Drosophila melanogaster: one gene and its partners. The protein of the gene in region 2 interacts with the protein of the main gene of each other region in a pairwise test. Each region holds a gene or a part of one and is shown on either strand. Other genes may lie near its edges.

What was found.
Region 1: the proteins of AdamTS-A (region 2) and MagR interact in a two-hybrid assay, tested with the Drosophila melanogaster proteins (one large-scale study listed by BioGRID).
Region 3: the proteins of AdamTS-A (region 2) and unc-119 interact in a two-hybrid assay, tested with the Drosophila melanogaster proteins (one large-scale study listed by BioGRID).
Region 4: the proteins of AdamTS-A (region 2) and Epac interact in a two-hybrid assay, tested with the Drosophila melanogaster proteins (one large-scale study listed by BioGRID).

What each region holds. Positions count from the first base shown.
Region 1 is NC_004354.4:15,732,273-15,736,642, reverse strand, and holds MagR (magnetic receptor), read right to left. Parts: upstream 2,374-4,370; 5' UTR 2,275-2,373; coding exon 2,191-2,274; intron 2,091-2,190; coding exon 2,037-2,090; intron 1,545-2,036; coding exon 1,469-1,544; intron 1,400-1,468; coding exon 1,322-1,399; intron 1,255-1,321; coding exon 1,151-1,254; 3' UTR 863-1,150; downstream 1-862. Other genes in the region: Arp6 (Actin-related protein 6), read left to right, coding at 1-806; CG12379 (uncharacterized protein), read left to right, coding at 2,720-2,932, 3,090-3,401; CG8191 (uncharacterized protein), read right to left, coding at 3,415-4,370. UniProt on the Drosophila melanogaster protein: Involved in the assembly of mitochondrial iron-sulfur proteins. Probably involved in the binding of an intermediate of Fe/S cluster assembly. Required for maintenance of circadian rhythms under constant darkness.
Region 2 is NT_033777.3:15,472,721-15,478,500, forward strand, and holds the start of AdamTS-A (ADAM metallopeptidase with thrombospondin type 1 motif A), read right to left. Parts: upstream 3,474-5,780; 5' UTR 2,569-3,473; coding exon 2,167-2,568; intron 1-2,166.
Region 3 is NC_004354.4:7,287,616-7,293,424, reverse strand, and holds unc-119 (unc-119), read left to right. Parts: upstream 1-2,126; 5' UTR 2,127-2,632; exon of another isoform or gene 2,633-2,636; intron 2,637-2,747; 5' UTR 2,748-2,859; intron 2,860-3,029; 5' UTR 3,030-3,174; coding exon 3,175-3,680; intron 3,681-3,746; coding exon 3,747-3,919; intron 3,920-4,160; coding exon 4,161-4,279; 3' UTR 4,280-5,058; downstream 5,059-5,809. Other genes in the region: CG2059 (uncharacterized protein), read right to left, coding at 5,376-5,514, 5,579-5,716, 5,785-5,809. UniProt on the Drosophila melanogaster protein: Myristoyl-binding protein that acts as a cargo adapter: specifically binds the myristoyl moiety of a subset of N-terminally myristoylated proteins and is required for their localization.
Region 4 is NT_033778.4:6,795,376-6,801,192, reverse strand, and holds the start of Epac (exchange protein directly activated by cAMP), read left to right. Parts: upstream 1-2,251; 5' UTR 2,252-2,423; intron 2,424-3,780; 5' UTR 3,781-4,252; coding exon 4,253-4,287; intron 4,288-5,817.

The DNA of each region.
Region 1 (4,370 bases), on a different chromosome or scaffold from region 2:
CCGATCTGGCTGCCTTTAACTATGTGGCTGACAGCGAGGAGCGGACTACAATGGAATCGCTTAACTGCATCATCATCGATGTAGGCTACAGTTTCACCCACGTTGTTCCTTTTGTGCTGGGACGGCGCGTTCTCCAAGGCATACGACGCATCGACATGGGCGGGAAGGCGCTGACCAACCAGCTAAAGGAGCTAATCTCTTATCGCCACCTAAACGTCATGGACGAGAGTCATGTAGTTAACCAGATCAAGGAAGATGTCTGCTTTGTGGCGGAGGACTTCAAGCAGGCGATGCAGGTGCATTATTCGGAGGAGAAGCGACGCGAAGTCACAGTTGATTATGTCCTTCCAGACTTCACCACCGTCAAACGGGGCTATGTTCGTGTTCCCGGAAAGCCGCGCGAGGATGAGGAGCAACAGCAAATGGTGTCGCTGTGCAATGAACGTTTCACCGTGCCCGAGCTGCTCTTCAATCCCTCGGACATTGGTGTGCAACAGGTGGGCATTCCGGAAGCGGTGGCCGATTGTCTGAAGGCTTGCCCCTGGGAAGCGCACCGCGAACTCCTGCTCAACATCCTTATTGTGGGCGGCAGTGCCCAGTTTCCGGGATTTCTGCCGCGCCTAAAGCGCGATTTACGTGCCCTGGTGCCCGACGATCTTGAAGTGTCACTCATCTGTCCCGAGGATCCGGTGCGGTACGCGTGGTACGGCGGCAAGGAGGTTGCGACCAGCCCCAACTTTGAAGAGTTTGTTTACACGCAAGACGACTACGAGGAGTACGGTTTCCAGGGTATCAATCAGCGGTAACATGCACGTAGTCGAAGTATTTTTTCAATAATAAACTTGATTTGCACATGGGTTTTCTAGAACATTCCTTGTCTATATATTGAACTAGGGCTAAAGAGGACAAACTGCCAGCCTGCGGCAAGGAAGCGGGTGCGTCACTTACCTAGCGCTACAACTAAAATTTAACTATAGAACACAACTTAATATTTAGAATTCGTTTGCGAAGTAAAATTTACAAAGGATGCGGTGCTTTTGCCAACAACGTAATGAGATACAAGGTCGGGCCGCGTACTGCATTTAACTTAGTTAATTTAGGTCTGTCTGCGAGGCGGGTGCCGGCGGATCTCCTCCGGATCTCCATCGGTTTACATGCTGAACGATTCGCCGCAGCCGCATGTGCCCTTAATGTTCGGATTGTTAAACACGAACTCGCTGGACAGCTTCGATTCCACAAAGTCCATCTCGGTACCTGCAAGCGAATTATACTCTGTATTAGCTGGCTTGTCCAATGCTATGCTAAGCTGGTATGAACTTACCCAGCAGCGACAACTGCGCTTTCTTGTCGATGAAGACCTTGACGCCATCCTGGACCACCTCCTCATCCAACTTGTCTGCTGGCAAAAATCGACACAGAACGCAGCATTAGATCTCCACCGAACAACATTCTGTCCAGAGTGGCTTACCTTTTTGGCTGGCATAGTCCAGCGTGTAGGACAGACCATTGCATCCTCGCTGCCGTACGCCCACCTTTAGGCCAACCTGTGGCAGAAACAACATCGAATTTCTGTCATTAACTGTGTGGCTAATTTATAGGCAGCCTTGTTTATTGACCAAAGACAAAGAACTCGGTATTCTAATAAGTCTGTCTCAATTCAAAGAATTTAATCACTTAAAAACTAAATGATTAACAACAAGATAAACATGCTCATCAAAATTTGGTCGGGTCAAAATTTGGAAAATCTAGCTGATTAACGCAGGCCGAATTAGTTAGCATGGCTTATATTTATAGCTAATAATTTGCGCTAAAATATATGACTGACTGAGGAAAAAGCCTATTGTCAAATATAATGCTTGAAGAAGCCCTCTTGCGAACTTCCTATACTCCATGCAACCAGTGCTAAAACTTAAATAACATGCACGGGAACCTTTAAAGAGCTAGGCGAGATTATCAAGATCTCAATCGTGGAAGGCGATAGAATGCCCACTAAAGTGTAGCCTTGGTTCGATGACAACTTGTCAGCAGTCACTCACCATGTCCGGCTTGTCCTGCAGAAGCGTCTTGATGCGTAGCACCGCCGCGGGTGTCTGAAAAGGATTGGGGGAGATCAGAATCATCAGATCGAAGGGGACTGTTACTTCATCAGCAGCAGCATGCGCCGATTTCACCAGGTTTTGGTTTCCTTACCAGAGTCAGAGCGGCCCGCGTCGGGATTAACTTCCGGCCTTTCACCGCCCGCACTGTCGCCGTTGCCACCACACGTGTCGCCATCGGTTCGTGCCCTTTATATAATTTGTTTGACTCGAGAATTTCCACAAAAAAAATTCGAAAATATGAGTGCTTACTACCAGATGGTCGATAGTACTGTCGATAGTATCACGTGAGATGGCATTAACAGATGTCATCGATTGGCAGTGTCACGGGATAGCGGAGAAACGGTTACTACCTGTTTGAAAAATAAGTTATTTTTAAGCCCCAGAGTCCAGGTGGACTTCATTAATAACTTAACTTAATATTTCACAGTAGAATTTATATTAACAATTGGTTTTAATGTCTGTGAGTTACAGCAAATTTTATCAGCACCAGTGACAGCTATAGTAACTTTTTAAAATCGTGACTCGCGACTAGTTTTGAAATGAAAGGAGGTGCCATCTCTAAGTTTAAATGAATTTCACACTTTTCGATTGAGTTAAATAATATCAACAAAATCGAGGATATGTCCGCCCTAAAAAAATTTTATAAAATCAGCGCAGGTGTGAGAAGAGGCGCACTACTTACCAGTTCCCGAAGAACACAAATTGATGCTTTAAATAGTCCACAATTGCAGTTGCAAGTGCATCACTTTGCAACCAAAACACAAACAGCTGTTTTTAGCAGCAGCAACAACTACACGTGCATTTGCCGCAGTATACACTGCAGTAAGCCAGTGGTATGTTTGGAAATCAGTTGTAAATACAAATAAACTACCCAATTGATATTAAATAATGTTATTTACATTTGTAATTTAAAATATTATAAATGGAATGCAATATTTAAAATTATGTATAACAAAAAAGTTAAGTATAATTATTTTGCTCTGCTCCCAGGACGATGCGGACAAGACGGTGGCCACGAATAGCATTCCTCTGGCGAAACTGGAGGCCAAGATGCAGCTGATCTACACCTGCAAGGTGTGCCAGACCCGGAACATGAAGACCATTTCGAAGCTGGCATACCAACGCGGCGTTGTTATCGTGACCTGCGAGGGCTGCTCCAATCACCACCTGATCGCCGACAATCTGAACTGGTTCACAGATCTGGACGGCAAGCGCAACATCGAGGAGATCCTGGCCGAGAAGGGCGAGAAGGTGGTTCGCCTGACCGATGGCAACTGCGAGTTTTTGCCGAAACATGATTAAACTCGTAGTGTAGTTAAGTGAAAACGAATGCCACTTTATTTAGCAGCTCCAGCAAATGTGTCCAGGAATTGGGGGGTAGTTGGGCACGCAGCTGCTGGGCGAACTGCCGGCGACATATGGATCCGGTGGCCAGCATCAGGTAGGTTATGTATGTGGCCTCGTTCACGGGCAGCTGCGAGACAGCCGTGACTGGTGCATCAGCGGTCAATTGCATCTCATCCAAGTCTAGGTAGGGCAGGTGGCGATTCCAATGGTCGATTAGGTAGGCAATAAGGCTGCCGGCCAGACGTACATGCTCCATACTGGCCCAGAATCTCATCTCATTGGCGGATTGCGATACGAACAGAAAGATATTGTGCAGGAAGCCGGTGCAAGCGGTAGATCCGCCCTCCGATAAAGTGTCACAGATCATGTGGCGCATTAGGTAGCAATCCTTGTGAATTTCGCTGTCCTTTGGCTCCCTAAAAAGCTGCAGCCACACCTGGTACTCAATCAGCTCCATGGAGCGCTTTATTGCGGTCTGCATGTCCTCAAGGCTGGATAAGCGGCCAATCCGCTTGACTAGCCGTCGCATCTGCTGAAGATCGGGATTGATAAAATCGCTGGAAGAAAGCGCATCCGATTGGCGTATTGCCGACCAGTCCAAATCACCGATCTCACTCCACGCAGGCTGAATCTCGGCCAACGTTCGATGCGAAAGATGAAGCAGTGGTGCATGAGTTTCTCCCTTTCGTGTGTTCACGATGGTGGTACACAGCTCACGAATACACTTCCGTCGATCCACCAATGCAGAGCAGCTAGCGAAGAAGCCACGGCAATCGCAGCGTTCGGCCAGCGATTGCCCGAAGCGATCATAGCACTCGAACAGGTACAGGTGAGCCTTTAGCAGGGATTCCACAACGGATTGGCTCAGTCGCAGATGGCGGTGCTCGGAGTGCATCTCCTCCTGACAATCGTGCAGCCATGTGA
Region 2 (5,780 bases):
ACTGAACTCTTCAAATTTTCATCGTTATACCCTTGCTAAGGGTATATTGCTTTCAGTCAGGAATTTGCAACGCAGTAAAGAAGACAATCTACAGCCTTTCGCTTTTGATCAGAAACGGACAACCTTATCATATCATATAAAATGTCTAGCAAATCAATGAAAAACTAATCCCAGCTTAGTTGTTTTTTAATCATAATGCGTTCTAATTCGGTACACACCAAATTTGTGATTTGACATTCGATTTTAATTTGTTCAAACTCTGCAAATAATTACTGCAAGGGTGTATAAGTTTCGGTTTTCCGAAACTAGCATATTTTTTTGTTTTTATTTAAAGTAGACGAAATAAATTGAAAAAAGAGAACAGAGAAACACGCGCAAAGCGACGACGTACGACTCAAAAAAAAAAACTAAATAAATAAATAAAAAAAAAAGACAAAACGCGAAACAGAAACAAAAAGCAAGAAAATAAATATTCAAATTCTACACATTGTGAAAATTTTATTGTCGAAATACAAATTGGACGGCGCAGCCTTACTTACATGCATGTATTTCCCGACTTCTCAGATTCTAGGCGCCACGCGAAAAACTAGAAAATCTATTTTCGAAACATTCACAACAGCGAGTGAATCGAGTCGCACCGCACTGAATATGTCACAATTACTCATGTGCTTCTAAAATGCCAAGCGATGTGCATACGAGTTTATACATACAACCCAAATAGACAGTACATCCTATTCCCATTCGATCCCGAGGGGGTTACGTTGCCACACATGGCCCGTTATCAGTGGCAGTTGGGCCTACAGACTTCACCACTCGCGCACCCAACATTATTATGCATTATTATGTATTCATGGACCGGGGGATCGTGTCGTTTTTCACATTTTACATTGCCCGCCAGGCGGACGTTGATAAAATTCTAATGGCCTGTAAGCCAGCTAGCCAGTTAGCCAGTTAGCCAGCTTGCCAGTTAGCCAGTAAGCCGTGATTTAGGCATGTTTCCATTCACGTTGTTGTCACGTCCCGAAACAAACGCTTTTCACACCTTGTTGAGCTCTGTAAATCGTAGTTATGTGCTGTTTCCACCCAGGTCGTGTGTAACTGCAATACCATTTCCTTAAACCGAACTTGAAAATGTTTATCGAAATTTGCATCTTAATTCGTCGTCTGCCTCGCACTAATGGGCAAAAAAAAGTTCGTACCCAATCCTGTCTGGAATATGGAATATCAGTGACATCCAGACAGGGGCGTCTTTGTTCTTTATCTCTATTAGATATCTTTTATGTTCTTATCTCCTGTGGGACATGTGCTCCCGATGCTGCAGAATCTTTCGCTTTCCCGAAAATTGTTGCTGCAGAGCTAGAGCAAGATAGTGGCAACCTGGCGGAAACACACGTCCGACATACATCAGCAGACCCTGTGTGACGCAAATGGATGGATTATGAGTCAGCTAAAGAAGTGGGAGCTGCAAACCCAAACCAAAAGGAATAGTTTGATGACCAGATTGCTTGATATATGAATGCACTTCGTGGAGGCGCTCTGGCGCATTTGGATCGAAGTGCTTCGAACACGTTGCCATCTTCAGTCTGTTTGAAGCTGTCGAACGGTGAGGTTGCCGAGAATCCTATCGTGGATCCAACTTGGGATCCAGATTCACATTTCCGCTGCCGCGTGCGCGGTGCTTCGTGGCCAGTGAGGCGTGTGAATTCAAATGCGGTGGTCAACGCTTTGGTTGTCGCTTTCTTTGTGTCGCCAGTGGTATTTAATCAAAATCGAATAGAGAGCCAGAGTGGCGGCAAAAGCAACAAAACAAAAAAAAAAATGAAATGAAATGAAATGAAACGAAATAAAACAATGCGGCATACAAAACGAGACGAGCACACCAAAATATCGGCAAATCAACCGAAATTATAAAAGAAAGGAAAGAACTCGACACATTGATGTGGAATCAATGCAATAAATTAACTTAAATTTGGTTTTCGCTTGGCCAGCCGATTTCGATAAAGTAGAAAAAAAAGAGAGAGAGAGACAGAGACGAATACAAACACAAATAAATGAAAAATCGTTAAAATCCCGGTCTGCGAATTCGATCAGCCCACGAAATTCGATGCGGCGGACTAGGCCTCCAAAAATATTTATACTTATGTAGAGCTCGGATTTAGGACCTACCTGTCTGCCCAGCAGCGGACCCTTGCTGATGAAGTCCTTCTTGGCCGAGTAGAGCTCCGGCGGTGGTCCTTTCAGCGAATACCGCAGGCCGGACTCCCCAAGGTCGTCCGTCGTCCCACGCAGACAGCGCTCAAGGGCACGCTCATCCTCGTCGTCATCGGAGGCGGTGGCTGAGCAGGCGGATGATACGCAAGAGGAGGAGCACGCGAAGGAGGTACGATCCCGAGCACCGGGAGATTCGCAGACAGTGGTACTATTCGTGCCAGTGCTGTGACCAGAAGTTGTGGACCGCAGTGTGGTGCTGGGATACGCGAAGGCGGGCAGGTCCGACAGCAGGCGATGGCACTCGACCTCCTGGCCGCCGGCGGGCGATTTAAGTGAACCGGCATCCGGCATGGACATGGCGATGACCAGATAAGATAGCGATCTCCAATCTCAGAAATCCGAAATCCCAAATGGCACGTGCAAAAATGCGCGCGAAAGAGCAACAAAATCCACAGTATGCGTATATACGGCTATACGTATATCTTGTAGATATATGTATCTTTACACTTATGTTGGCTCTATGGCTCTTTGGCTCTTTGGCTTTTTGCTTATTTTGTTAATTGAAATGCGACAGTCTCGTTCCGTTGCCGTGGGCACCGCACCCGCCAAAAAATGCGAAAATACGAACGAACAGAAAGGCAAAGACTACGGCTCGTGGGTATTAAAACGACTCACACTTATGGCTGCGATTAGCTAGATAAACTACTTAGTACTGGAGCCATTGTACGATCTCATGATGAATCTTTTTGCCGAATCACAGAATTTATTCGCAGTTGCGGTTGGGTTTTGGCCAATGTTAAGCTTGAACTTCACACATCGCGCCGAATGCATTCACTTTCGAGCTGCACCATTAACTTGGCCACCGTTGGCATTCTGAGTTGCTGGCTTTCTTTTCGCTTTCGGCCAGCGGCTATTTTTGCAAACTTTTCGGTGGCGAAGGTTGTCCCACAACTGAGCACCATGTCAGAGTTCACAAGAACACGCCGATCGTTTGGCATCGGCATCGCTATCGCCATCTGGCCGACATGGCTGGTCAGGATACGGAATACACTGGCGCACTGGGATGAATACGTATTCAAATTCGAATTAGAAATCGCAACTGGATTAATATTACAAATGGAACTTTAGCAATTGTCTGATACTACCGCGCGCGCGCAAATAAATGAAACGGACGAGAACGAGCCGATGGACCAGACCAATGCTGCGAACCAGAGAATTTGTATCTGTATCTGGCGATGTTTCGTTTCGGCTCGCTTGAGTTCCCGCTGCGGACTGAACACTGCTCGCCGAACAGCAGTTGGTAGCGGACGTTCCGCCGTACCGCCAAGCAATCTGAGATCGCGAACATATATCGCTCCGAAAGCTAAAAGCGGTTCTCTCGCAGCTATATGCTGTACAACATACATACATACATATGTACATATGTATGTACATACTCGTATGTAGGCACGAGTATAGGGATATGGGTTTGCTGAATGGGCTTAGGATTTCGATTCCGAAGGAGTGTTTTAGAGAGATTAGAAATACGTCAGAATCATATCAGTACGCAGAACAGCCGGCTTCTCTGCGCAGAGAGCGCTGTGGCGAAAAGAGAGCCGAGCGCGGCTTAAAAGAGCACTCGAACGCTCTCTTAAGTGCGCCTCTGCTTACTCAATATTTTTGCACATGTGAGGATTAAGTGTGTGGACATAATTATCATCGGATAAGATAAGGTGTGTTAGCATAGTAACAATCTTTGCATCTAGAGTATCTGCCTTTTCGGATGAAATAATATAAATATTAAAAAAAAAAAAAATAGGCTTATGCTGCATGCTTTATTCAGTAATAGTTTTTAAAAGTAATCAAAATTTGTAAACATGTTCACACTTGTGTGATACCAACCAATTTGAGTAAGTATGTACTTGAGTAAATAATAAAACTCTTTTTACTTATGACTTATTTTACTAGCCTATGCATTACTAATCGCACCGAGCAGTACTAAAAACTTTGAATACGAATTCTTTTGAAATAGAGGATAAGACCCTGGGCATTACCAGTGGTGCACTTCCGGAAGAAGTCATTTCGGAAGAAAAAAAGGAAGTTGATGATCACAGAGAATGGTACAATGATGACTAGCTCATCAGTATCAAAAAAAATTCTTTTTTTGACGTAAATAAACTGACACGACAGCCTTTACTCAGAAATGCGACAAATATAAAGATATATCTAAATAATCTACACAAGCTGAACAAACATATCGTAATAGTTTAGATAGGCAAGTGTAACTGATTTGTCTCAAATTGGTATCATTATAAACAATACTTTATACTTTATACTTTATATTGTCTCATTTGGGCATAGAGTGTGCGACATCTGCCGGATCCCAGCCCATCCAATGTGGGTCAAGATCAATCTACTGATCGCGTCAGTGAATAAAAATAGTAGCCATTCGCTCCATTATTTGAACGCCGAGAACTCTTCCACATAAATGTCTTCTGTGCCAAATTACCATATGTAGCAATTGACCCTATTGTATACTAAATATTTTCTTTAATCAAACGCAGCAATAAGAATTAATCAATTAAAAGACCAGAGCTCGTTTGCCAAATTAAAGTATAGTTGGAAATTAAAAATCCATTTCGCCGCCGTGGAGGTCGGCGAAAATTTAAAAATATTCCAAAATACGATGATGCATATTCATATACTACGGATGTTGCGAGAATGGTGGACTAATGAAAAACATCTCAAAAGATTCCAGGAAGAGCGTTCTCCATGCAACCATGCAATCGGCAACAAAACGCTTGTTTTGTAATCAACAACAAACAGCCGGCATCCAAATGATGCCAACATAAAACAGCAGCCATAACAGAACATCTTACAAAATAGCCCTAAAAGTCTGGAGGGGGCAAGTGAGTTCCCCAAGAAGGCTGTTTGTATTACACCGAACTAATCATCATGCCCTGTAAGCAATGTTTACACAGCCACTAAACAAAATAAACGACTCCTAGCTGGAGTCTCTCCCCAAGTCACTAATAAATTGCTCAGTCTAGCAAATCGCATACTGATCTGTAGGAAAGCATACGTTCTAAATTAGGAAATATTGCTCAAAGAGGCGCCGCTGGTTTTCAGATGCTAATGATCGAGCCACTGGAGACCGCTGACCACAATGTATCTATCTGTCTATCCATTTTTGTATCTATGCTATCTGCTCCGATCGCATTGTATCATCCTAATAATTAACGCATTTAGATCATAAGGCGGGCAGATAGCCATAAACTTTTGTTTAGCTGTTGATGCTTATATGGCAACAGCATAGATGGACTGGCCCCAACTTGGATTTGGATAGAGAATCACTTTCAGGTGGATACCCAATCCAGACCCCTTGTCCTGGCATTTGTGCAACTTCGATCTGCACGCTGGCGGCCTTCGTGTGGATCGAAGATCAATAAGCGAGAGGCTGTGAAGAGCCCTAGACTACGGATCACTATCGAATTCGAAGTCTTCAGATGTTCGATGTCAGACTGACTGTCTGTTTATCCGTCCGTGCGTCCAACACGCGCAGGCCTCTTAGTCAATTGCGTCTGTCCGTA
Region 3 (5,809 bases), on a different chromosome or scaffold from region 2:
CCGGCGCGCATAACGTCATCGCCACTTGGAATAGGGTCAGTGGCGTCTTCTGCGAAGGGGATTTCTTATAAAAAGGCACACAAAACAGGCTGCGCAGACGTAACATTTTCCCAAGAAAGTATGCAGTACTTTATAAAATGTGAGCAACGTAATACTATGACCATAAGATCCCATTTATTAGATGCAACAAGCTTTGGAAAATATTTCTAGCCCCCTTTTTTTGTGCCACGCCCCTGTTCGGCCATTCGAGTACGAATATTATCGCCCACGATTTTTGGTTTTTGTTGCTGCTCTACTGTTTGTTTTCGATACCCAGGCACACAGACGCACACACAAACACGCATTGAAGTACACAGGAGGGGGTACTTGAGTTCTATGGCTCGAAAAGTTCTATGGTCCGTCCGTGAAAGAAAGAAATATTCAAACAAATTTCATCAACTAACAATCGAACGTTAAGTTTCATTTGCTATGTAAATGTAAATCGATCGGTGATAAGTCGGATGTAGCTACTATTTGGAAAAGCTTATATACATTAGTATGTATATAAATTCTGAAGAAAACAGGTTAAGTATTTTTGGGTTACCATCCTCTGGGCGAATAAAATTATCCTTAAAAGTGTCCTTTGATATAATTGAATAATATAGAGTTAGTACTTTTAAATTGGCCACCTGCTGCAGTCATTAAAAATTGGTTCGAAAATATTTAATCTCATGGAACAGCAAATTTAACTCAAATGAAACCGAATCCTGCCTATGGCATTTGCGCTGATACAAAAGATGGATTATCCCGCGAATTCCTTGGATCTTTTGTCGACCCTTTCGGCCTGTCAGATGGCATATTCCTCAGGTGCCCGGCTGTCTGCAGATTTTATGTGAGTTTTTGGGGGATAAATCAAGTGAGGGGCGGCGGTGCAAGGGGGGGGGGGTCAGTTTGGAGATCTCCAGTCAAACTGTACTAAAGATAGAGCCGAACACGTTCCCAGTGCTGCCACACAGATACACACCAATACCAATGTAAGAAACAAAAAAAAAAAAAAAAACTACAAAAAAAAAATACAGGAAACGCGGACGCCAATGGAGAAAAAAAAACAGGGGCAGGGGCAGGGGCAGTGGACAGTGGACGGGGGATAAGTGCATATGTGGCCCCTGAAACTTAACACTTCTTTGGCTCCGGCTGCGAATATTAAAATACCCACTTAAGGCCAACAATAACAGCGGCAAGAAGCAGAGAAAATGTGAAAAGGAGGAGCTAGAATTGAACTCAAGTACTTTCGTCTCGCACTGAAAGAAAAAAATACATTTATGTATGAATATGAAAAAAAAAACTATCTTAATATCATAGTGCTATTTTATTTACATGAAATCTATAAACTAAAATAGCGACTCACTAAGCGTGAAAAATCGAAATAGATCTAAATAATATTATAGCCAGCATTTCTCGCAGTGCACAAACATGATCTGGCATTGGCGCCCGTGCGTCTGAATATGGAAATCGAAATGGGTCCGAGTATGGGTGCGTTGTATATGGAATGGGATGGGATGTGGATAGGAGGACACTTGAGTTTTAGGCCGGGCTTATCTGCATTCTAGGCGAAGGGAGGGGAAGCGAAAGGAAAGGAAACCACTCGACGGCGCACTTGAGAAGCGGGAGAAGCAAGCGGCAGTCTGCTGCATGGATATTAACTAATTGTCGGCCACAAAAATGCATGGGAAGGCGATCGCAACACGCCATTTAACACATTTGCACGCTTCCAAAGTGTTTCCTTTTCGAATTTGCTTTGTATATAGTGGTTTACTCTGGCGAGTGACGGGGGTATATGCATTTTATTTTTTAGTTTGGGTTTTCAATTTAAGCTTAAGATGTGAAAATCTATACTTATACTTGTCTATACTCATTATTTCCGATTAAGCTTTCTGCAAACGTTCGCTTACTTTCGGTTATACAATAAATAATGTTAAAAATCTGAATAGCCTTTTTTCTAGATGTAAAATGTAGAATATTTTGAATATTGCGCCAACAGTGTGACCCCTGCTAGAACGCAGAAATGTTTTTTTGCGAGTATGTGGCAACGTTGGTCGTAAGTTTTTCCCCATGCGCGAACGGTCTCACCGATTTCCTGTAATGCATCATCGATAATCTATCGATTGCTGAGTAGTGCAAAAAAAGTGGGCAAAAAAGGTGCAATGTTTAGCGTTTAAGTGCGTTAAGTTGCTTTTGCGGACGACAACAACAACACCAGCAGCATTGCCGGTCAAATTGATCTAATTGATTTTCGGGCAGTGCCAACAGCAACTAAAACCAAATTAATAAATGAATCCCTGCGCATACATAAACATATAAAAACACACACACACACACATACATTCGCATAAAGGACGCGAACCGAAAAGGGAAAAACAAACACAAAGGAAAAAAAAAGGAAAAAGGAGAGCGCAGCTTTTTCAGAAATTGGGTCATTTGTTGTTGTTGTTGTTGTTGTTGCTGCTGTTGCTGGTGATTTTCAAACGAATTTCATTTGTTGCTGTCGTCGTCGGTTCGGTGTTGTTGTTGTTGTTGCTGTTGTTGCAATGGTCGTGGACGTTGTTGTCGCTGACAGCTAAATGTTATGGCAACACTTGCAACCTGAATTCGTGTGGGTAAGTAGTGTTTGCATTTATGTTGAATTTATTTTAACTTATATACCTTATACTTAACTTATTTTTGTGCTTTTCGCCAAATAACTATTCATATTTGGCAAAAATTAATAGTGAGGAGCGGAAAGCGAAAGGATAATAGGGTAGCGGAGACGAAGCCTTATATTTCCACCAGAAAATCCTGGCACAATTTATGACAACTCTACACTTGTGTGTGTTTGTGTTGGTGAGTAACTTAACAACTATGACTTCTTTTTTTTTTTTTTGCTATGTTAAAAAAAAAATGTGATATTTCATTATTCAGTTTAGTTTGAAGTAATAGAAATTCAAAAGTATTTGTGCTATATTTTATTATTTACTCCCTAATAACCAATGCCTATTCCTTTCTATTCGCAGAGTGAGACAGCGGAGTAGCTTCTTCAAATCAAAGGATACCACTGCAGCAGCCATCCAGCCAGGAGCCTTAAAAAAGCTGTTCAGCTTGAGAAATCCGAAACGCAGACTATAGACAAATAATACCACCAGATTCATTCCGTGCACAATGAGCGTGGTGGGTAAGCAACTAAATCCGGTGCAATCCTCCGGTGCAGGCGCAGTGACAACGTCTTCCTCCGCGGCCGCAGGATCCTCTTCTTCGAACAGTGGAGTGGAGGCCAACGGCGGCAGTGGAGGATCGTCGGGAGCTGCAGCAGCGGGCGCTGGTGCCTCCGGTGATGCCAAACGGCCTGCGGAGTCTTCCAGCGTGACTCCCGACGAGGTGCTCCATCTGACCAAGATCACGGACGACTATCTCTGCTCCGCCAATGCAAATGTGTTCGAGATTGATTTCACGCGGTTCAAGATTCGCGACCTGGAGAGCGGCGCTGTGCTCTTCGAGATCGCCAAACCGCCGAGTGAACAATATCCGGAAGGACTGTCCTCGGATGAAACCATGCTGGCGGCTGCCGAGAAATTGTCACTGGATGACACTGCCGATCCAAATGCCGGACGCTATGTGCGCTATCAGTTCACACCGGCATTTCTCAACCTCAAAACAGTGGGAGCCACGTAGGTTATACAGTATTTGCATTTGTTTTAAATGCCTCTCAATTTGTAAGTTTCCCTTATTTGCAGTGTGGAATTCACTGTGGGCAGCCAGCCGCTTAATAATTTTCGTATGATCGAACGCCACTTCTTCCGCGATCGCCTGCTAAAGACGTTTGACTTTGAGTTCGGCTTTTGCTTTCCATTTTCGAAGAATACGGTTGAGCACATCTACGAGTTTCCTAACCTTCCACCCGACCTAGGTGAGCAATTTTTACATAATCCCAGCCAGCATGACACGCAATTGAAAGTTGCTGCCAAAAGTTGAAGGGGTTTGTGGGTCAAGGTCGTTTACGATTTGCGCCTGTGAGATGAGGCTTCTATTGGTCAGATTGCGAGCAGCTATCATGGTTTTTATTTTTTGTTATCGGTTTGTAGGATGTGGACTTATTAATGAAATGCAATTCACATAAATATGTTCGTTCGTTTTCCATTTTTTTTTAGTTGCTGAGATGATATCGAGCCCCTTTGAGACGCGCTCGGACAGCTTTTACTTTGTGGGAAACCGACTCGTCATGCACAACAAAGCCGACTACGCCTACGATGGCGGCAATATAGTCTAGAAACTCAACTATAATGGAACTGCAACTAGAGCAAAACTAATAACTAAAGAACTAGAAACTACAGAAGCTGTGAGACAAAATCAATGACTTGTCACACACACACACACACGAAACACCCACTCAATGTCAACAATCACACTCACAAACACATCGAATCGAATCGAGGAATATTATCACAGCCATTTTAGCCTTAGCACACCAAAGTTTTACCCACCATTCCTGTTTGATGTATTTAGCATCAAGATATGATCTCCTGCAAACGGAAACTAACACACAAACACAACAACAACACACTGAAGCACGCGGATTGTGTTCATTTATCAATGATTTCCACTTTGACTATATAATTTTAAGTGCTATGTGATTTCCCTTGATTTATATATGTATTTGTACACACTTATTTAATCCTAATAAGTAAGGACACTCCACACACACACCCAACAAGAAACAACAAATACATATATATAAAATACGTACGTATACACACACGCACACACAGAACTTATGAGAAGCGAATTGGAAATTTTCAAAAAAAAAAAATTGAGGAAAATCCATTTGCCGTCAATTTTTGTATGCAGCATACGAAATCATACGAAATCTATCAGCTTCTTCATGGCATTTTTTTCGTGTCTGTGTATGTATATTTTTTAAACAAAAACCAAATGGAAAAAGACGAACGTAACTGGAAATCCAAAAAAAAAAAAACACTAACGATTACACGCCGAACAAGAATGATAAATTAAATTACATTTTAAATGTACATACACCACTATAAATTGAAACTTTTCTAAGGGGGTTAAATCGAGGGCATTTCGTGCACTAAAGGTGCTTAAGAAATTTATTATATTCTGAAAAATCATCAAGTTCAGAACGCTTATATCAAAAAAAAAAATATATATATTGCTATCCCGCTCTTTTCGGTGAAGATTCTTGAAGATCTGCGTAGATCGTTGAAGAATGTCTTCTCGAGTTCTGAAGTGAAATTAATTTGAATTCCCGTTCCCAAGAAAAACAAAGCGTTCACTTTCCAATTTAGCTAAAGTCGATCTACGCGATTGACTTCTTTGTACATTTGGTTAAAATATCAAAATTTGGTCTACTCAGTTCTATTCAGGAACTCGCTGACTATTGTTAGAAACTCCTGCGGCTTTTCAAAGTGCACTAAATGTCCGGCATCCAGCCAGTGGATCTCAGAATTGGGAAACATTTTCTGTATCTGTGGCCATTGCTCGCGTCTAATAAAGATGGCAAAAAGATTCAATTAGTTTAGTTTACTTAGCACCTCGGGATCCAAGTTACCTCATGTAAGGTGATCGCGTGCCGCAAATGAACGTAGTGGGTCCCGTGTACGGCGGCAGTTCCTCCAAATTACTCTGATATTTGTCGAAGCGGGTGAGGAATTCACGAAGAACATGGGCATTGCAGGCCCAAGAGAAACTATAGGAAGATTATCTCATTTTAAAGCGGTTCCCAAAAAAGGCCAAATACATATGTGGCAAACTTACGCGCCGGTGTCAGGATTTTTTCGGA
Region 4 (5,817 bases), on a different chromosome or scaffold from region 2:
GCAGGTGGGTGGGTAAGTGCAATCAGGTCGTAAACACGTTCCGACGGCACCAGTGACTGACTTTTGAAGCGACTGGCTGAGGATGGTGAGCCAAAGTCCTGGACAAGGACTTCGACAACAACGACTAGCTGACGACGAGTCGATCAATGTACAACAGCATTTTCTGCTAATGGGCCACAGGCAGGGTGGCAGGAAGCGCCATTAGACCAGGTGCCACATGCGTTGATGATGAAAAGAAAATGCATTAGGACCGGCCATGATGAGCCCGCACTTGGCCATGAAGGCCTTCAAAGCCAGCCGTGCCCACCAGCCGAGTTTATTAAGATCGCATTTATCATAATTACCGCCGGGTCGTTGTGTTGTGTCTGGTGGAGCAGGATTCAACGCCATGTGATGACATATTCAGCAGGCAAAGCGGCCGTTAAATTCTTGGAATTTCATTCCGCATTGGCAAGCCCGAAAAAATGTCTATGGTGGTCCTGTCAACATGGGGGAGGCTCATAAAAAATGCGACAGGCAGACCCCATGAAAAACCAAAAAAAAAAAAAAACCCTGCAACACAGGGAAAGTAGTCTTCCACTTTTATTACGTCAGTTCTATTTAGTGCTATACCGTTATTGTTAATTATGTCTAATTATATTAGTAGAAGTAATTCATCTTTGCACTTATCCTATGCTACACCCGTTTGTGTATAATGAAATACCTATCTAGGAATACCAGACTACGATCCACCTTAACTATTTTTCTTTCTGTGCATTAACAGCTGGGGGAAAAAGCCAAGAATTTATATGCGCTGGGGCAGCCTGTGGAGCTGGAACCGAAACTGGGAATGATTCATGCGGAAATAAAGGCACTCGAGAGTGCCGTAAATATTGTGGTGGCGACCACAACAACAGCGGCTCTGGGAAAGGTGGAAAACAAAAGGAAAGCTTTGCATTTTCGCACCTTTTCAGGAGCGAACACGACTGAATCGCCGTTGATTCATTAGCTGAATGTGACAAGCCGTCAGTGAATGTCCAAGTGTCCAAGTGACCAAAAGTCCGGGTGTTCACGCACTCGCTCCGTAAATTCTGTCCGTTGTTTCGTGTCCGCTGCTGGTGTGCATTATTTAATTGACATGTTGATTGTTTCGCATTGCGATTCCATTTTATGTGCACTTTCAGGCGAGGGTGTGAGGCAGTTCCGCCCGGGGCGCGGTGCGGGGTTGTCCGCTGTTCGCCCGACGGCCGAGCGGACGGACAAGTGCCTGTTGAAGAGCTGGTCAACTGCGACGACTCACCAAAATAACGCTCAACAGTTTGTTGTGGAGCACGTAGAATAGGAGAGCGAGCAGCAAATGTTGCTAAACATTCGAGTGAATAGAGTCAAAACAAATTGTTATTTCAAGTAGACTAGGCAAGCAATATTATTCGTAATACAACATATCAGATTCGATTAACTTTTCATCTTTAAAGCCCAATACACAATCTATATTTTTTTTTTTTTTATATTTATTTATTTAGAAGCGATGAATCCATACAATGCAGTAACAGTAACATAACAGCGCAATTAACATATAAAAGATAAAACCAAACCTCTCACTAATCATGTGAGGACTTAAGACAATCTATACTAATAAGCAATAAGCAAGTAAGTAAAACAAATAAATCAAACAAGAACATAAATTTATATGTTAAATGCTATATCATTATAGCCATCTTTATACAAATTGTATCTCTTTGCTGATTATCGTATATAAGTGTAGGCAGTAAATGAATAAGAATAATATTTAAATTAAATTAATATTAAGTTTAAAATCGTAAAAGAATAGTAGAAATCCATTCATATCACAAAATAATGGGATTCAAATTATAATAAATATTATAACAAAAGTAGTATAATTTCAAACACTATAAGCAAAGAAACTGTATTTAATTAGAACTACTTTGAAATTACGTTTTTTCGTGTGCCAAATTTTATTTGGATTTTGACCACACCGATTTGGATGTAAGCCCACTGTGCCGAAGATTTGTCAAACTTGTTGCTAAAAAACGCGCCAAAATATGTGAGTGACGGAAAGGGACGGCGGGAAGGCGGAACAAGGCCAAAAGTACCGCACCGCAGCCGTCAACACTGCAGTCATCGGCAATGAGTAACTTCCAACAACCCACCACGACCCCCAATCTCCGCCGGGAAACCCACCTGCGAGGCGCAGGACAGGAGCGTGGTGAAGAGCGCCGCTCGGAAGTCGGAAAATGGAAGGCGGCCGAGCAGTTGCGACGCGACTACCAAATGAATCGGACGCGATAGCGCTTCAGCGGAGGTCGAGAACTGAAATGTTTGCCCAAGAACTGTATATACCAAGTGCTTGAAAGCCGTTAGCAAGTGGTTCATTTAAATATTCGTTTGAAGTCGGTTCGATTTCAGGTATTCGCTGGATTTCGGTATGTCGCGTGGGTTCGAAACTAAAAGTTCATTTTCCGTGCCAAAAAGTGTTTGCCAACAAGAAGGACTTTAAAATATCGAATTCTGCTGCGGGATCTCTGTTACTCTTGCATCTTCTGATCCTTTTCTCCGTTCAGAGGATGCGTGAGTATTCGATTCATGATGTTTCTTCGCCACATGACCAAGCTAAATGGCTAAGTTTTCCGTTTGGCAACGGCTGCAGTGGGCAGTTAAATCACATCTATTGTGGTTCAAAGTTTTGCTTTCACTCGGTTGCTTAATTAAAACAAAGTTTGAAACCCTAAAGTGGAAATTACATGGAACATCTGTTTCCAGGGCGATTTCAAAGCTTGTTCAATTCAATTCCCTAACCGCCACTCCGGACACTAATTGCATTTGCTGGCAGGATGGACAACTCGTTCGAAAGTGGCCGCTTATCGAGTCGTCCACTCGGAATATCGCCAATATCAGTCTTATCGCCCCCGGGACTTTTGTCGCCATTTATGTACGTGGAGCCAGCCAGCGAGCGAACGACACGTCAGAAAACGTGGCATACATTCGGGCGCCTTCGCGGGCTGGCCACGATGGCGAATACTTAATTATTCATATGCGAGCTGATGGTCCTTCGCGATGTCTTTCCTTTTGAGCCGTCACTCGAACACTTGTTCCGCCTGCAGTTCCATTTCGCTGACGAAAGCCACTGCACTTCTGATGGGGTGGTATAAATTATGTTTTTTCCCATTGACGCAGAACAAAATACGCATTCGTTTGCGGTACAGATACAGATAGTGCAGCGCATGGGTAAACATGGAGTTCGGTAACGAATTCGCGGTTAGATCGTGCCTTCGCATGCCATACGATCTGGATTTGGGCATACTGGGAAATTAGAATGCCCATTGACAGCGCATTAAGTATACGCCGTGTGTGTGGAGTAATCTATTGTTATCTGGAAATCTATTGTTAGATTTGTGCGCCAACAGTTTGTTGGTGCTCCGCCCTCACCGCTCTCCTGCACCACAACACCCCCTCGCCGGCCGAGCAGGCATCAAAGCTTATTCATAACATTTGCTTTTGTTGGCGACACAGATACCCACAAGCACACACAAGCACACACACACTGACGCAGTGGGGCCTTCTGGGCAGCTATCAGCAGTTGGGAAAACCCTTTTTGGCAAGTCCAACAATAGCAATTCACATTAGTTATGTGGCTGAAAAAATCGGAAAGAGGGAAACTTTTACATCTGCTGCTGGCATTTTATATAAATTATATTAGAGTCCGACATCCCAAGGCTAGCTTACACTTACGACTGCTGTATAGTGAATTTAGACTCACATTCGCCCAATTTAACTTTGCAGCTGCTCGGTATCGAAATCCTCGTCGCCAGCCAAACGGGAGCTCAAACTGAAATCCATTTCCAAACTTTCGCCTAATCAACGAGCTACGTCCACTTACCCCTGGCTCCAACTCGAAAGGAGCTCGCTCCAACGCTCCCAAAAGCGGATTTCGAGTGCCTCGCTGGGCCGAGCCACCTGGCATGTCGTATTCAAAGGGAATCGCAGATTGACGGCCACATCGCGGATTGAGGTGACTGCAAACTGGGTGCGAGCGCCGCCATTACTCGGTATTTTGATTTCGCTTTCCTGGGCCGCAACGGGCAATTAATTTGCACCACTTTGGAGCCGCTCCGCCTCGATTTATGTGCTCTGCTCAAAGTTGGGGCAACTATTTGGTTTGGTGTTTGTGGAATGTGCTGTTCATAACTTGTATCATAACTTGTGTCAAACGGCGAAACTAATCGAGCGAGGGAGATTTAAATAAAAATTCAACATGGCGATGGAATGGATAACTGCAATGGACAAACGGTAAGTGATTTTTTAATGAGCTGCACAATTAATGAGCAGCGATTTTGGGGAACTTTTCTTTAAATTCTAAGTTTTTAGCTCCAAAAGTTTCCTTAGCTGAAACGGAATGCTTTCTCTTAAATTTAAGGCATTTCCCAGCTGAGTGCACAAGTTTCTTTCCTCTGTTTTCCCGGAGCAGACACGTACTCACACATCGACGTACGTGTAAGTTGAATGAAAAGCTCGACGTGGAGTACAAACAAAACGAGAACGAGAAGCGAAACATTTTAAAATGTTGCCGTCATGCTCGACATTCATTTGTCAAGAACCAACATCGGGGTGCCCCATCCTCCTCCATCCTTGATGGCTGGCAAATGGCCAATCCATCCACTTTGTGGACACGGCCTGCCACGAATTATCCGCTTTATTAAATCTCGATATCAATTCTCCGTAACTCAATGAGCCGCCTTCTGCACAGCAATTATTTCATCATTCCTGATTTGGACACCGAACAAAGGAAAATAAAAACAGGACTTTAATCATGACATTCATATCTTTCTTGTGAATTGAAATGCAAAATAAATGTAATTGTAGTTCGCTATAAATAAACCAACCCATTTAATGATACTACTCTTAAAATACAATTTATATTATGATAAAGCATTAAAGTAATTTACCATTCATTTCATGAGCTATGCCTGAAAAGTGTTTTCTGTCGTGCAAAAATAATAATTAAACCGCTGTAAAAGTATAAAAATACTATAATTTAATTGAAAATATATATATTTCTGCTGAAAGCTCCGCATTTCAGAGGTTTTAATGCACATACATTTTTTACGTAAATATGTGCTTTGCAATTGGATGGAGTTTAGTCTTGTGCAAACATTATTTTAGTGGAATAAAACAGAGGCACGGGACTATTGTTTTTTTTTTTTAGTTGATGTCAGACTTTATACTTTCCATTTAAGAGAGCGGTTTCATTTTATCTGGACACCACAGTATTTATCTTTTCACAGCCAACATAATAACATTACCCTTATCTAAATTAATGAAAAAGCTCATATGTGAGATGGAGTATCTCTCCTGATGACATGCTATTTCTAAAGCATTTACTATTGCAACAGTCAACAGAATAGTCAGCATTCTAAAGCATTTACTATTGCATCAATCAACAGAATAGTCAGCATTTAGCGTGTAAAATATTTATATACAATTACGGAATAACCAAATTTATTTTAGTGTGTGCGCAGTACTTAAGCTTAAGTTGAACTTGATTCGAGCTAATCAAACATTGACCAGAGATCAAAATTGTTTTTCAAAGTGTCTAAATCGATTTGCCCAACCGTAAATGGCCGGGAATCGAGCACACATTCTTCCCAGCAACCACTTGATGCAATTTGTTGGATTTCAGCTGGGGCATCGCTGGACGAGTGCCACCATTACCATTACCATTATTAGCCCCGCCTGTCCCCACCGACTGCTCAGTTGTGCGGCACACTCTATTATTGCAGAGTGGCCTTATATTTCATTGGTGTTATCCGAATGGGGCGT